Linked DNA regions of Oreochromis niloticus. The protein of the gene in region 1 interacts with the protein of each later gene in a biochemical or structural test. Links are inferred from orthologs where the notes say so. Each region holds a gene or a part of one and is shown in the gene's direction. Other genes may lie near its edges.

Region 1 (7,075 bases):
CATTCATTCAAAATGCAGAAAACAGTGAAAACATGAATTTTTTCAGCTCACCTATAGATACAATAGCACACAGCTTTTCTAAGCACTTATCTGGTGGTTTTTTTCTCGGCACTTTTCACAGTTCTTCTGTGTTTTCTGTCTCTTCATGTATTCTCAGTCTGACTCTGTGATGCTGATGCTCTGGATTCTTTGTTTAGGGTTGTTGTTTTTACACAGAATCAATGTGCGTCCATCAGATGTCTTGTGATCTGTTGTATATCATAATAATGTCATCATGTAAAGTACGTGCACATTTAAAACAGTGAATATAGCACCATCAGTGTATGTGTTCCATAAAAAATGTGGCTTCAGTTACTGAAAAACTCATCCTTTAGATTATAATCAATTATTTATTGTCTATTCTTTCTGGAAAAGGCCGGATCCCTTTCTCTTTTGTTTTATTAAACACCACTTTCTTGCTTTGGAGGGTTAAAATGCATATTTCTGGGGGTAAAGCAGCCTAACAGTTTTATGAGTTTAAGCGTTTCGAGAGTATGTTTGTAAGTTTAAGTTTATTAGTGCTTATTGTAAATTAGCAATGAATCGTCCCGGGTTTTAAAATTGTCATGTGGACTAAACATGGTGCAGTTTTACAGTGGGTGAAAACACCAATCTATGACTACAGCTGTGTTTCAAAATGAGCTTCAACCTCTGTAAATGTGTGTGGTTTCACTTGCGTGCATATCAAAAGAAAACGTGTTTATGGTTTGTGTCAGATGGTGTGGGCGAGCACCACCAGAGTGGGATGTGCTGTCAGGAAGTGCTCCAACATGGACGTGTTCGGCAGCACCTGGAGGGAAGCAACGCTGCTGGTCTGCAACTACTTGATAAAGTAAAGTTTGGGAAATATGCTTGTTCACTTTTTCACCAAAAGTTTGAAGATGCAGCTCAAAACCGTGACTTCCTCCGAGACACATAGGATGCTTATTTTTTAAAGTAGAAAACATCATCCTCTATGCAAATGCTAATAAACTAATCATTGTTGGTTGTAGTTTCAGTTTTAGTCTACTATTAGATCTTGAAAATGCTTTAAATCCAAATGATCTGTTTTATTTTACACATATGGGATCAGTTTAATGTTTTTAGTTCAAACTGGGGTCAAATAGGACACAGGAGGCAGATTTCAAGAACAAAAAGTGAGCTTTACTTGTATATACAAATGTCTTAATGAAGTTGGCAAAAATAAAAACAAACAAACAAACAAAAAACAAAAACTGAAAATAGACGGTTGCTGTTTTCGTCCATGTTCTAAGTAAAAAAGAACGAACCAATACAGACTCAAACCCTGCTCTCACAGGTGCAAATACTCATTTAACTATTACACTCAGAATCTCACCTTTTAATTAGCATTATATTTCTTTGTATTTCAGAGGAAACTGGGTGGGAGAAGCTCCGTATAAGACTGGAAGGCCTTGTTCTGTCTGTCCACCCAGCTACGGAGGCTCCTGCTGGAGAAACCAGTGCACACTGAACAAAAAACCCAGGAGACTTTAACACAAGAAAGAAGCTATTAACACAACACAGTGTTTTAATTTTTAAACTGAAAAAAAAAAAATGCACAACAGTTCCAGATATGACTCACAAAAGCTGTACAACAAGACAATCTGGATAAATGACGCATGTGTCCAGTTACCACTGTTACCATTTGTACTGTAAATACTTTATTTACTGCAACACTTGAATTTCTATTCCAGTTACAAAATAATGTTAAAACTGTTATTTCCTTTGACTTTCAGGAGCTTTGCACTGTTACAACCCGTTTAATAATAATAAAAAAGCAGTTTTATGCTACAAGTTGCTCATTTTAGGCCTGATATACATCTTTGATTGTCTTTCTAAACTGTGAACTCGTTCCCACAGTAAATGACAATGCATTTATGGTTGCCCGTTTGCCTGACCGAACGTTAATTAAGTTATAAATAACTGATGAGGCTGTATATTCAGTACAAGTAATCCGCTGTTCACCACTTGTGTTTATTCACTGCAGCTGCAGGAAATTTTCTGTCCTGCATTTCACCTCATTACAGCTCACCATTTACCCATCAGAGACTTTCTCTGTCATAAACCCGAGCCTAATGCAGCTTTTATGGCCTAAAATACGAGAGAATCAGCTGTGCCTCCCAGTTCAACTGATTTGTGGACACACACACACACACACACACACACACACACACACACACACACACACACACACACACCCAAACGTAAAACGTTTGATACAGAAACCAGTCTCTCCCAAGCAAACAAAGTCCCTCACAAACAAGTATAAAGAGCAGCTGAGATCAGCACTTTGTTGACTGTAATGATTGTTTATTTAGCAGCTCTATTCAGAAATGGAGAGTGGGTGTAATTTTCTTTCTTTGTGGAAGGTGTTTCTCCTTACTCTACATTTTTGTGCAGGTGTGGTTTTTACAGGTAATTGCATACACTGTTTTCAGCATTTCAATCAATCAGTTTCCACTGATACAAACAGATGTTTGGAAAACACTGTTATCCTCGCTGGATGAAATTTTCATGAGAATATCCATACCGCCTCGTGCCTGCAGACGATTAGCAAGAGAAACTGAACTCGGAAGAAAGCAACAACAAAATCCTTTTCCTAGTAAAGCTAAGCCTATTAAATTAACACATTATATTTAATCTGGCTCTTCTTTAGATGCTGTTACACTTACTGTTTTTTACATTTTAGGCGATTTTAACTTAACAAGCAGTATTAGTGTGTTAGTTAATGAGCTTTAGAGGTGTCAGAGAGTGGATTTTGCAATCTTCAGCCAGAGTCTTAAACTAAGCAAATGGAAAGTATTAATGTATGTTTTTGAAGCTGGCCAAAGAAAATATGACAAATTTCCCTATGGTAGCAAAAATGGTTGTTTGCATGCAGCTGAAAAGTGCCAGCAGGATATAGAATTATCTAAAAAGGACGGCTCATTTCCAAATCAAATGTACAGATTTTATCTCTTTTTATCCATCTAGATTGTTTGGTGTGTGTCCCAGTTAGCTCAAGGATGAAAACATAACATTTTGTGAGCCATTTCATTTGGGAATTGTTCTCTGTCTACCAAACTATACCTGTCAACCAACTGAAGCGTGGGCTTGCCAGACTTTACAGCTCCGGTGAGGGGATGGCATCCATGTTTACACGCCAACCGTCTCACTTAGCAGAAGAAAGCCAGAGGAGGGTTTGTGACACTGTAACAGGATGTAAACATTGTAAATTGATAGGTGTATTATGATTTTCAACTCTTGCAAACCATTAAAAGTGATTTTACACTTTTACACTATAATCCCCTCACACAGACACACATATTCTTTGCCTTTAAACATCGGGTGAAAAATAATGTTGAACTTCCCAAATGTAGAGTGAAGGAGCCACACACTGACCTTCTGATTGCCACATTTATCACGCTGAGCACCTTTTGGTTGGTGAATGTAGTTTTAGAATAACTGTGTCATAACTGAGTTATTCAAATGTATTTTTCTGCACAGGGCAAAGAGCCATCTAGCTTCATTACATTCAAAGAAGGTAGACATCTCAACAGCTTATAGGCCAAAGAAAAAAAATCAAACGATATATTTGATTTAAACTCATTCTCCAATGAAATGAAGCTGGGCTTCCATCTCTGCTGGGAGGCAACATTTTAAATTAGGGGGATGTTTTGGCATCCGCAGAGAGTTCAGGCCCCAGATATCTAACGGCTAAGCAGTAATGTTTTCTCCTTAGTCAAAACAAAACTGATGATGTCACTCGTCATACAGTATGTTCGCTGCCACCCTCAGTACATTCTCCACTCCTCTGTCTTTTATGTCCCTCCCCACCCTCTTTCTTTCTTTCTATTTTACATAAACTCTTATTCCTACACAATTTTCATCTTCGACTGGAGAAAAGGCTGTCAGGTGATGAGAAAGAGGGAAAAGAGCACAATAACTTTATGTCTATTTGAGTTTCTATCATCATGTTGCCATAGTTACAGCTGCTATATAGATTGGTGTCCATACGAGCCTGGTTACTGTTTAACCTCCCCACCCACATTTGCCCAGATTAGGAAAATCAATAAGATAACAGCAGCAACACCGGCCTTACCTTGCACCAACAACACCCTTCTCGCACTACAGCACCCTGCGCCAGACATCCACATTTTACACCTTATGGTGAGGGGAGAAAATAGTGGATTTAAAACATATGCTTGGGAGGAAGGAGAGGACGACATGGTCAATGTAAACTCACAAGTCAGTTCAAGTATGGAACTTCCATTTGGTGAGTACACGCTTTTGTTTTTATCCGTGTGGCCGACTAGTTTAAAAAGAGGCTAAGCGTAGCAGCTGCTTGCTTCTTTTTGCTTCTTATTCAGTGTTTTTGTGTAGCAGCTGCTTGGCTCCAGAGCTCTGCTGGATCACAAGGGATTCAGGGTGGAAATATCACCACCATACATGTCTGTCTTTTTCACACGGCTGTAATCCAGGAGGTGTGTCAGAGATATGGAGGTCGTTAAAAAAAGGCCATGGGAGCTGGGCCTGATGGAGATGATGGTTCAGAGATATTGAGATGTAAGAGCTGTAAGAGTACAGTGAGTGTGACAGGGCTCACAGGCTGATTTGAAATGATTTAAGCTTGCTCTGTTTGACAAGCTGTGCTCATGGACTGGATATTTTTTATGGAGTTCTGAAAACATTCTTTCTGTAGAGTTACACTATCCATAAAAAGACTGACATTTTAACCTCACTATGACACTGTGATAAGCCTCTGCATTATTTTATGGCTACAATATAAGATGCTGTGCAAACACAAAACAGGAGAAGGACACATCGCTGCTACAGGCACACAAACCGCCCCTTTGTCATAACTGTTTTGAACAATCTCAAGAGAGGCCTTACTCGGCATCATCTCATACCAGCTGTCTGATGCAGCAGTTGGTGGGAGTTTAGTTTTTGCTTCTGTGGTCATTCATTAAATAATTTGCATATCACAGCAGGGATGCAAATCCATTTAAACAAAGCTCTGGCCAAATGAGAAAAGAAAATATCAGCCCACTGTTTCAAGTCTGCCTTTGCTCATTTATTCCTTCCCTCCTTGCTCCCCATTTCTTCTCGTGCCACTATGCCAATTCGGTATATGTAGGCTATTTTTTCAGCTAAAGGAACAGCTACACAGAAAAGGTTAATTGTACAAAGGGGGGAGGTGATATCTTCATACATTTCAGTCCCAGTGACCAGTGAAGTGAAAGTCAGTTCAGATAGTGAAAATAACTTCTCAAATATGTGTCCAGCAGTATTTCAAGGTTGTCGCTGCCATACTTGCTTCTAGGACTTTGTAGCTGGCAAGCAAACCCCCTATGGGCTAGCTAACTGGGAATATACTAACACTAATCTCTCAAATGAACACCCCATGCTTCTCTAAATTTTCTCTGGATTGCCCGGTTTACATCCAGCTCCATTTACCTTTCCATTTCAGTTAAGAGTGAAGCGACAGGGATAAGATTTCCAGGCTGCTAAGGCCTCCTATTTTAGGTGCTGACAGGAAAATATTTTTATTTAATTTTATTTCTAATTCATGTTTTGTGAGGGTTTTTTGTTACGGCATAAATCTCTAGATGATTTCATTACATTATGACACAGTAAATGCAGCATAAAGAGAAACTGTATAGAACAATGAGCATCGTGACTTTGTTCAGTTAAACAGTTTTGTTTGATGTGTTATTTTGTCAGTTAGAATTACAGTCACAGGTCATCGTCATGCGTGACACACAGAAAGAAAGCTGTGCTTGTTGTCAGTGGTTGTATTGCACAAAGTCATGAGAATTTAAATCTACTGAGAAGTTAAGCAGGCTCACAGTCGTGTCCACAACAAATGAATCTTGTTTCAGTAAAATCTGACCTTGATCTTGAGCACAGTTGAAGACACATTACGTGATCATAATATGGAAGGTCCGCTGACACCCTGAAGGCTTTACACACCAGATGTGGAAAAATTCGTGAGAATGTTTTGTGCTTTAAAAATATTTTTTGGATTCACCCATTCTTAATGTGCAAATTCACACTGACTGCATAATTTCACTGGACGAATTTGCAGCATTTATTTTTCTTTAGCTTTCTGAAATGATTCATCCGCCTCCTCAGATGTGGTCCCAACTCTGCCATCAAGAGCTCAAACTGCCCCCCTGACATCCTGAAATATGTATGAAAGCAGTTGTGATAAAGCTTCAACTCCTGGTTCAAAGTATGAAATTCTCCCTGCTGCCGCTTTTTCCTGAGACTCTGATGAACCTAGAATCTTTGTTTCTTCCTTTTCCGGGTTTAGAAACAACAGGACCGGCTCATCGTGGCTTAATATCAACTTCTTTGTCCTCACATTTTCCTCAACAATGCAGTGCATTCGGTGTGTGTGTGTGTTACATGACAAGTTCAGAATCCGAAAATTCAGATTTTCATGTTGTTTTTTGCATCGTGCCCACTAATAACCTTAAAGAAACATAATACTACAGTTAACTGTGTTATCCTGTTAAATTTATACTGTTTATTAATGTTACAGACAGACAAGACCACATTAACATTACCATTTTATTATAGCCACTAGTTGCTACCTGCAGGTAACTGCTAATACTTCAATGGCTCATGTTAATGTGGACGCTGGCAAGGTCAACACTTCAGATAACTGTTTAATACTTAAATGTTGTTAAAACAGGAGATTTACTGACCTCCCAACAGTCGTAATAAAGACCAAGGTGTCAGTCTTTGAGATGCTTCACCCAGTTGGTGGTGCTACTGTTCATGTGTTCAGCTTCTAGTAAGGTGGGAAAGGTTGTGCACCTGGGTACTTAGTGAAGGTGTGTGTCATCTGGAGCAGGTGAAGACGGCAGTGCTGGTATCAGTGCTGTTGCAAATGGGAACTGAATGTGAAATGGGAATGTCTGAATTTGAACTTTTCTGACAACCCTATTCAATACATATGGTGCATATGGTATGTATGGTACTTAAAAAAAGAAAAGCAAGTATGATTGTGATTTTAGAACTTTGGTCACTTTTAAATTGACACACAGAC
Region 2 (7,805 bases), on another chromosome or scaffold:
CATGCAGAGAAGAAACGGCTTTTTAGTCTCTCTGCGAAATGTTTCATCATTTGGACTCTGGTAAGATCATACTTTGATGTTTCTGTCAAAAGTTAGCGACTTGCTAACGAAAGCTAAGCTAAAGCCGTTAACGTGCTAAGGCCGAATTATTAGCAGGCAGTATAATTAACGACATTAAAGCGTGAGCTCTTCATTCGACATTTGATGTTTACTTTCAGGGTATGTTGTCACTGGGTGGTGTTAAAGTTAGACACTTAATTTAACCACCTAGTGGATGTTGCTAGCTTCGCGTCCCTCTTGCTTGTAGCTAACCTATTGATGTTTTGTTTATGTGCAAGAAGCTTCCTGATGCTCTCACTTTACAAAGCTCATTACATTGCTGTTATCTTTCCCAAAGACACAAAGTGGAGATAATACAAGCCTTGGCTGCTGTCTGCTTTTTCACTGGCCATTACATTTGTAGTGAACATTTAAAAAAAAATAAAAATAAAGTAGTCTGAACGTTAACGCCAAATTTTTTCTGCTCCTAATGTTCTGTTAGAAGACAGGGAGGGGAACAAGGAACCAGTACACATGGAGTGTGAGAAGGAAGGAGTCGACTCTGAGACCAGGTGGGGCGAAGAGCTCAGACTGGTCCTCATTGGAAAGACCGGATCTGGCAAGAGTGCATCTGGGAACACCATCCTGGGCCGCAGGCAGTTCCTGTCACAGGTCAGCGCCAGCTCTGTCACTCAGATTTGCGAGATGGGAAGCACTGAGCTCGCTGAAGAAGATGGCCGGGCCGTCCCACAGAGGAGAGTGAGGCGAATCATGGTTGTTGACATGCCAGGTTTTGGAGACACTCACCTCAGTGTGGAGCAGATTCACGCAGAGATTGCCAAATGTGTCTCTCTCTCTGCCCCTGGCCCCCACGCTTTCCTCCTTGTGGTGCCAATAGGACGATACACAGACAACGAGAACCAGGCTGTTTGTGAGCTGGCCAAGATATTTGGGGGAGGATGCTGTATTTCACCATACAGTGGTTCTTTTTACCAGGGGGGGATGACCTAGAGGGCATGGTGATAGAAGAATATCTGAAAATGACTGCACCTCCTGGGCTGAGGGCTCTGATAGACAAGTGTGGGGGTAGGTACCATGTTCTCAACAACAAAGACCCCAGTAACACAGCACAAGTTAAAGAGCTCTTGGTGAAGGTAGACAGCATGGTGAGGCAGAGTAACGGAGGGTTTTATACTAACACCATGTTTTTAGAGGCAGAGGCTGCAATCCGGGAGGAGCAGGATAGGATGTTGGGAGAGCGAGGGCAAGCAGAGGGTGAAGACCAAGAAGGAAGTAACTGCAGAACTGAAGAGGAGGCTAAACTTGCAAAAAGAAGAAAATGTGATTTAGAGTCTGACATAGCAGGAAGCAGCGAGAGAGGATTACAAGAGCTCCAGAGGAAAGGGGTAGAAAGAGGAAGTGAAGATGATCTAAGGGTGGAGAAATGGGCAAAGGAGAGCAGAAGCAGTCCCTTCAGCCTGCTGAGAGACCAGATCAGAGGCCGACATCGGGGCCAAGGCAGAGCTGTCAGCCGGCGGCCATCTGTCCGGTCATCACTGATTCGTTTCAGGAGGGAAGCCGCGCTCTCTCCCAAGGTGCTGGAGAGAGTTAAGGTCCTGGTGGCTGCTGGAGCCACTGGCATGGCAGTTGGGGCAGTTTTCGGAGCGGCTGCCCCTTTGGCAGCTGCAGCTGGGGCATCTCTTGCTGGGAACTCGATTGGTTTTGCTGCAGCTCAGTTAGCTGGGATGTCCGTGGCGGGAGGCTCGGGTGTGGGGAATGCCGTGGGCGCCATAGTGGCGGCAGCCTCGGGGAAAACTGCAGTGGCTCTGGGCGCAGCAACAGGTGGAGTTCTGGGTAGTTCTGTGGGAGCCATTGCTAGCGCTGAGGCTTCCAGTCCTGCAGAAGGTGCTTTAGATGCCCTCACCCAGGTTAGCATCATAGGGGCCACTGCAGTCGGGGTGGCGGCCGGTGTGGGATGCACCATGGCAGGTGGGGCTGCTTTAGGAGCAGCTCTGGAGGGAGCAGCTGCCCTCGGTGGAGCTGAAACTGCAGCAGCAGCAGGAGTAGCTCAGGGTAGTTTAGCGTCAGCAGCCGCTGGGACTCCTCAGTGTGCTGCTGCCTTAGCTCAGGAAGTGGCCGCTGGTGCTGCATGTGGGGTAACAGGACCCAGTGTGGCAACAGCAGCCAGCAGGGTTGCATCAGACCCGTGGGGCACCATGTCGGCAACAGCACGCATCCTGAGCGCGGTGGCCGAAATTGGCAAAGCTGCAGCCGGCATCGCCCTCGCTGGTGGTCTGGTGGTGAAGGTGGTGAAGGAAAAAGTGAGAAGCGGCACAGGAACGACGGAGGCTTCCTACTCAGAGAAGAAGTCTTATGAAATCTACTGGAACAAATAAATACAGGCTGAGCGTAGAGTCCAAATCCAGGATGTAAGAGATGTATTTTTCCACCTTCACAATAAACACCACACAACACAGTAACTTACTGCAGTGAGGGATATTTTTACATGGTTGTAAATGATCAAAGATGCACTGCTAGCAACAACATCTGTGTAATAAAGTTGTATGCAGTATTAATATGAAGCCACTTTATGAGGAAAAGGTAGAATCTCTCAATCTAAATGTTGGTTCAAGCCGAAGCTGAATAATCCATGACATTTGCACTTGTGTGGGATGACTGAAAGGCATATTAGATGGGTGTTGATTCTGCTGTTTCTTATTTTTAAACATGTTAGAAGGTTGTGATGCATTTCAGTGCTGGTTGGTATTTAAACACACCTTAGTCCTTGAGCACACATCATACTTAAAAAAAATTTTTTTACAGTGAGTATAATAAACAGAAAAAAGTGTTTGCCATGCCAAATATGTATATGAACAAAGTGGACTAATGACGTATTGAAAAGTTTCCATCCTGAATGATTTGCAGTGATTGGCTGGTTTTATTGCACTGTTTAACATCATGTAATAATTAAACCAGGAGAGTTATACAGTTATGTATTAACACAGGTAAAACATATGCTGCAAATGAGTTAGCAGTTCATTCATGTGTTTTTGCAGTGAAATAAAGAAAATACAAATATTGTTGCAAGAACTAACGTTTTTGGCTTCTTTTTTCCTTGTGGAATTATATTGGTGTTATCTTTTTGAACACCACACATGGCAGTATAATCAACTATGGTTCTCCATTTGAAGAATTCTGAAACACATTAAGTAACAATGATCATGCTTAGAATTAAGATCTGTGCCATTTTAAATGTATAGATTTGATGACTTTGTTAGGTACACTAATACCTGGTTGGAAGCCCTTTTGCCTTCAGAGCTGACTTAATTTTTCCTGGCATGGATTCAACAACAACGTCCCAAAGATGCTCTGTTGGACTGACGTCTTGTGACCGTGGAGGCCATTTGAGTACAGTGAACTCATGTTCAAGAAACCAGTTTGAGATGATGTCAGCTTTATGGGTATGTTATCCTGTGAGAAGCAACCATCAGAAGATGGGTACACTGTAGTTATAACTGGATGGGCATGATCAGCAACAATACTCAGGTAGGCTGTGGTGTGATGGTCAGTTGGTACTAAGGGGACCAAAGTGAACCAAGAAAATACCCCCCATATCATTAAACCACCACCACATAATACAGGGCAGGATAGATCCATACTTTTCATGTTCACGCCAAATTTGAACCATACCATCTGAACGTGCCAGCAGAAAGACCCGTCAGACTATATAAAATTTTTCAAGTTTTCTGTTGAGCAGTTTGGGTGAGCCCATGTAAAGTGTTGCCACAGTTTCAGCTGACAGGATGAGCACCCAGTCTGGTCTTCTGCTGCCCATCTACTTCAAGGTTCAACGTATATTTAGCAATGCTGTTCTGCATACCTTGGCTTATTTTGCCTTCCTTTCTAAAGAACTCTGGCCATTGTCCTCTGACCTCTGACATGAAAAAGTTATTTTTACTCACCGAACTTCCGCTCACTTTTCTGTTTTTCAGAGAATTCTCTCTGGAGATGGTTGTCTGTGGGAAATCCCTGTAGATCAGCAGTTGCTAAAACACACAGCGCAGCCCATCTGCCACCAAGTTTATGCCAATAACCTTAAAGCCACTTAAACTCCCATATTTCTCCATGTTTCTGGTGCTCAGTTTGAACTTCAGCAGGTCGACCTTATCCACATGCCTAATGTAGATCTCTGTATCTCATTGTACAACTGTATAGTGACAATAAAGGCATTCTATTCTATTCTATTCTAAATGTGATTGATTACCTACCTAATAAAGTCGCAGGTGACTATAGATGGGTAGCTCAACTGTAGTTCTTTCATTTTTATTAACACAGTATCATACAATTTTTATGCTTAAAAAGTAAAACTTGGAGTATATGCCATTAACCTTTTTTGTCTATAACACAACTTGTAATCTTTGATGGGTTAAAAGGTAAACAATAAATAAGATAGTATTAATCCGTACGCTGGAAAACATGCTTAAGAAACGAGTGAAACTGTTAAAACGTGTATTTTTGCGAATGACTGCAGAATGACTGTGTGTGTTTATCGCCGTCATCTTTTCCAAGGAGCAGCATTTGTCCACCGAGGTCGGGTTCTTTTCATGAAGGTAGGGGGAGCGGTTTATTCAAATGACACCCAAGCTTCTGATGGTTGACGTACTATCAGACCACGGCGAATACTGGCCTGTCATTGGACGATGATGACTGGTCTCATGACAAGAACGGACAGGTCTCAGCCAATCAGATCCCGCTATGGGCCACGGAGTCTGTTTGTGAATGACGTAATGAGCGTGAAACAAGATGGCGTCGCCTCAAACATAAATTGATGCCAATGAGTTTATCGGTGTAGAAGTGCTCCTCTCTTGGGGCTTCTGTGTTGTTTTGGGGTTGTTCAGGTGAAAGGACATATTCCGCGGTCAGTTAGGTGTGTGGTAGGCGTTGCCGAACGCCCACGGAGGAGCTCGTGGACCTTGTTTGTTTTGTCCCTCCGGTGACAACCGGAGAGGAGAGCTGCTGACAGATAGGATGGACAGCGGGGAGTATATCTCCACCATGGAGAACATGGACCCGACTTTAGCGGAATTAGGGGACGAATTCACCTTGGGAGACATTGACGGTGAGTGACCGTGTCACTGTTTAAAAAAAATTAGGAAGGGTAAGCTGTGTTTCACGAGTGTTGGCCTGTTTCCGTTTAGCCCGACAGCTGTTCTTCCTGCCGAGCGGAAGGAGATGAGCAGCTCTGGCTCTTAATTCTTGCGACAATGTTTAAGTATTCAAGATACCGCTCAGGAAAAAAGAGAGCACTTATATTTAGTAGTCCTCGAATGCTCTGTTATTTTGGCATTATCGTTGTGTATTTTCTTCTGTTTGTTTCTCTAATCCCCCCCACACACACAAAAAAAAGACAAAAAAAAACAAAACAATCACACAAACAATTAACCTAAACTAAAAGATGAAGAAGTGATACTGTTGTTGTCTTGACTCCTCCATAAGAAGTGTCAGTTACTTTCTGACCTTCTTCTTGTTCTTGAAGGAAGCTTTTCCTCCTACTTGAGCATCTTTTTGCTTCTGCAGACCTAATTGAGCATCATCTGTGGGACAACATCTCTGTCAAAAATAAATAAATAAATAAATAAAACAGATTGCGTTTTGCAGTCTGTGGGCCTGTACCCTGTGAACAAACAGCATCCTTGTTCCAACTTCCCTGTTATCAAAACATGTTTCACCCTTTGGCACACAGTGAAAGGATGGGGGCTTTTGGTGTGAGGCTGGCCAACGCAGAGTCACCAGATTTTTATTAGGGTGGAATTTTACTGAATGCTAACCCACCAGACCGGATTGATACACGTGTGTGTGTGTGTGTGTGTGTGTGTGTGTGTGTGTCGCACAGTATGGGATGAATTGGTTGTGTTAGGTTTAAATTAGTCATCAGCATACAACCAACCAAAGTGCTCTGAGATCATGCAAAGCCCAATAAAGATTACTATGTTTTGTTTTTTTTAAAGCAGTATGCTCTACTGCTTGTATGTTTAATTTGTTGTTTGTGATTGTACAAAAACCTTTTTCAATAAAAAGACTTTGATTAAAAAAAGATTACTATGCATGGGTTTGAAAACCTACCTGCCGGTGGCATCTGGTGTTAATTCTCTGTGGTGAACAGCCCATGTCACAGCTATTTAATCTCACTTAATCAATGTGTCAAAAGAAGAATGTGCAGATTGTGTGAAAGTCAAATGACTGTTGAGGTTTGACTGATCCTAACTTGACTTTTGCTTCACTCAGTGCATTTTGCCTGCAGCTATTTGGGGGAAAAATGCAGGTTTCCCATGAGGAAAAGCATTTAACTGCTGCAAATTCAGATTAGTCACGAGCTTTTCTTTTGTGCATTTGACTCCGTATTAATGTCGAATATTCTTGCTTTTCCAATTATTCACTTAACAACTGCTGCTCTGCTTATGTAACTTATTTTCTCTGCTCTCAGCAGCCCACAAAATTGTCCCCCACTACACCCTCACCCTCGCCCTGTACCCCCATTTAATGGATTTACCCTTTGTTTCGGAGTCTCTGTCTGAAGCTCCAGGGGCTCAGAGTTGCTTTGTTCTGTCAGCCACTGTAACCCCCTCCCCTCGAGGTGTTGAAGTGTGCGAGTGCCCTACTGTAAGTGTAAATTCGACTGGATGGTTGGTAGAAACGCTCCTGAGAGGAAGCCCATTTAGTGTTCCTGTGGTGCGGCTTATTTGAAATCACGTCCTGCGCTCCTCTGGGCTCACTTTTCAAAGCAAGCCTCAAAGTGTTTCCCTTTTATTGGTTTTGAAAGTGGTCATCACTGTTTCTTTACCTCTGTGTCAACACAGGTCACATGCAGACTTCAGTCATGGCTATGAGTGCATGAATTACTGGCCTTGACCTCTCTGCTGCTAGTGTTGGACTGTTGATCTCTTTTTTTACAGCTTGAGATTTTGCAGCAGTAGAAATGCAGATATGATATATGATCCAAGATGAGATCTGAACACAGATGAGTTTGTTTTAAAGACTTGTTGGATTTCAATTCATCTCTGGAGTTGGCAACCCGGCACACTGATGAGAACGAACGCCTTTTATTGTTTTTGTACGCTGCACTGAAATGCAGCGAGTGATCAAAGACAAAGCTGACAGGATGCTGGCTTCTTTTCCAAACATATCTGAGAACCTTTTGGTGTTTTAAAAAGTTTGTGAGTTTTCCTTCTTCGCTTTGCAGCTTCAAGCATCTATTCTTGTACCCCAGTGCTTTTTGTGTTGCGTTTGTTTCGAACATTACATCATTAAAGTAGAAATACAAAATGTCCTGCAGCGATATTGTGCTAAAAAAAATGTAGGAACCTTATCTAGAAGTCAAATCACCAAAAAAGGAAGCAGTAACTTTATTGCAGGCATAAAAGATGCAGAACATGTTTCACTGCGCTGGGATTGATAAAGGGTCTTATAGTACTGTATTACACAGTCGCCTTGTATTTTCCTGATGCCAAAAAAATCACTCATTAATGCAGGAAAAATTCACTCACTTTGAGGCTGCAAAGTAGTGACTGTAGTTAACTTTAACATGTGGCTTGCAGGGCTTCTTAGGTGTATTGATATGTGGTGTCCAAGGGTTGTGCGCTTAGTGATTTAACACTTGACAAAAAGTTCTTTGTGTCTTTTGTATTGCCTGATTTCTCCGCCTCACATTAAGATAAAGTTCAAGGTTACAGGCTCAGCTTATTGACGCTGCGCTGACCCTGAGAGCT

The links. The genes of interacting proteins can lie anywhere in the genome.
Region 2: the proteins of hnf4a (region 1) and srebf2 form a complex in vitro, tested with the Homo sapiens proteins (2 studies listed by BioGRID and IntAct). The link is inferred for Oreochromis niloticus from reciprocal best matches to the Homo sapiens genes HNF4A and SREBF2.

The regions. Positions count from the first base shown.
Region 1 is NC_031984.2:6,975,318-6,982,392, forward strand, and holds the start of hnf4a (hepatocyte nuclear factor 4-alpha), read left to right. Parts: upstream 1-4,059; 5' UTR 4,060-4,185; coding exon 4,186-4,294; intron 4,295-7,075. Other genes in the region: peptidase inhibitor R3HDML, read left to right, coding at 756-871, 1,410-1,533. UniProt on the Homo sapiens protein: Transcriptional regulator which controls the expression of hepatic genes during the transition of endodermal cells to hepatic progenitor cells, facilitating the recruitment of RNA pol II to the promoters of target genes. Activates the transcription of CYP2C38.
Region 2 is NC_031969.2:10,062,887-10,070,691, forward strand, and holds the start of srebf2 (sterol regulatory element-binding protein 2), read left to right. Parts: upstream 1-4,803; 5' UTR 4,804-5,067; coding exon 5,068-5,158; intron 5,159-7,805. Other genes in the region: uncharacterized protein LOC100696172, read left to right, coding at 999-2,435.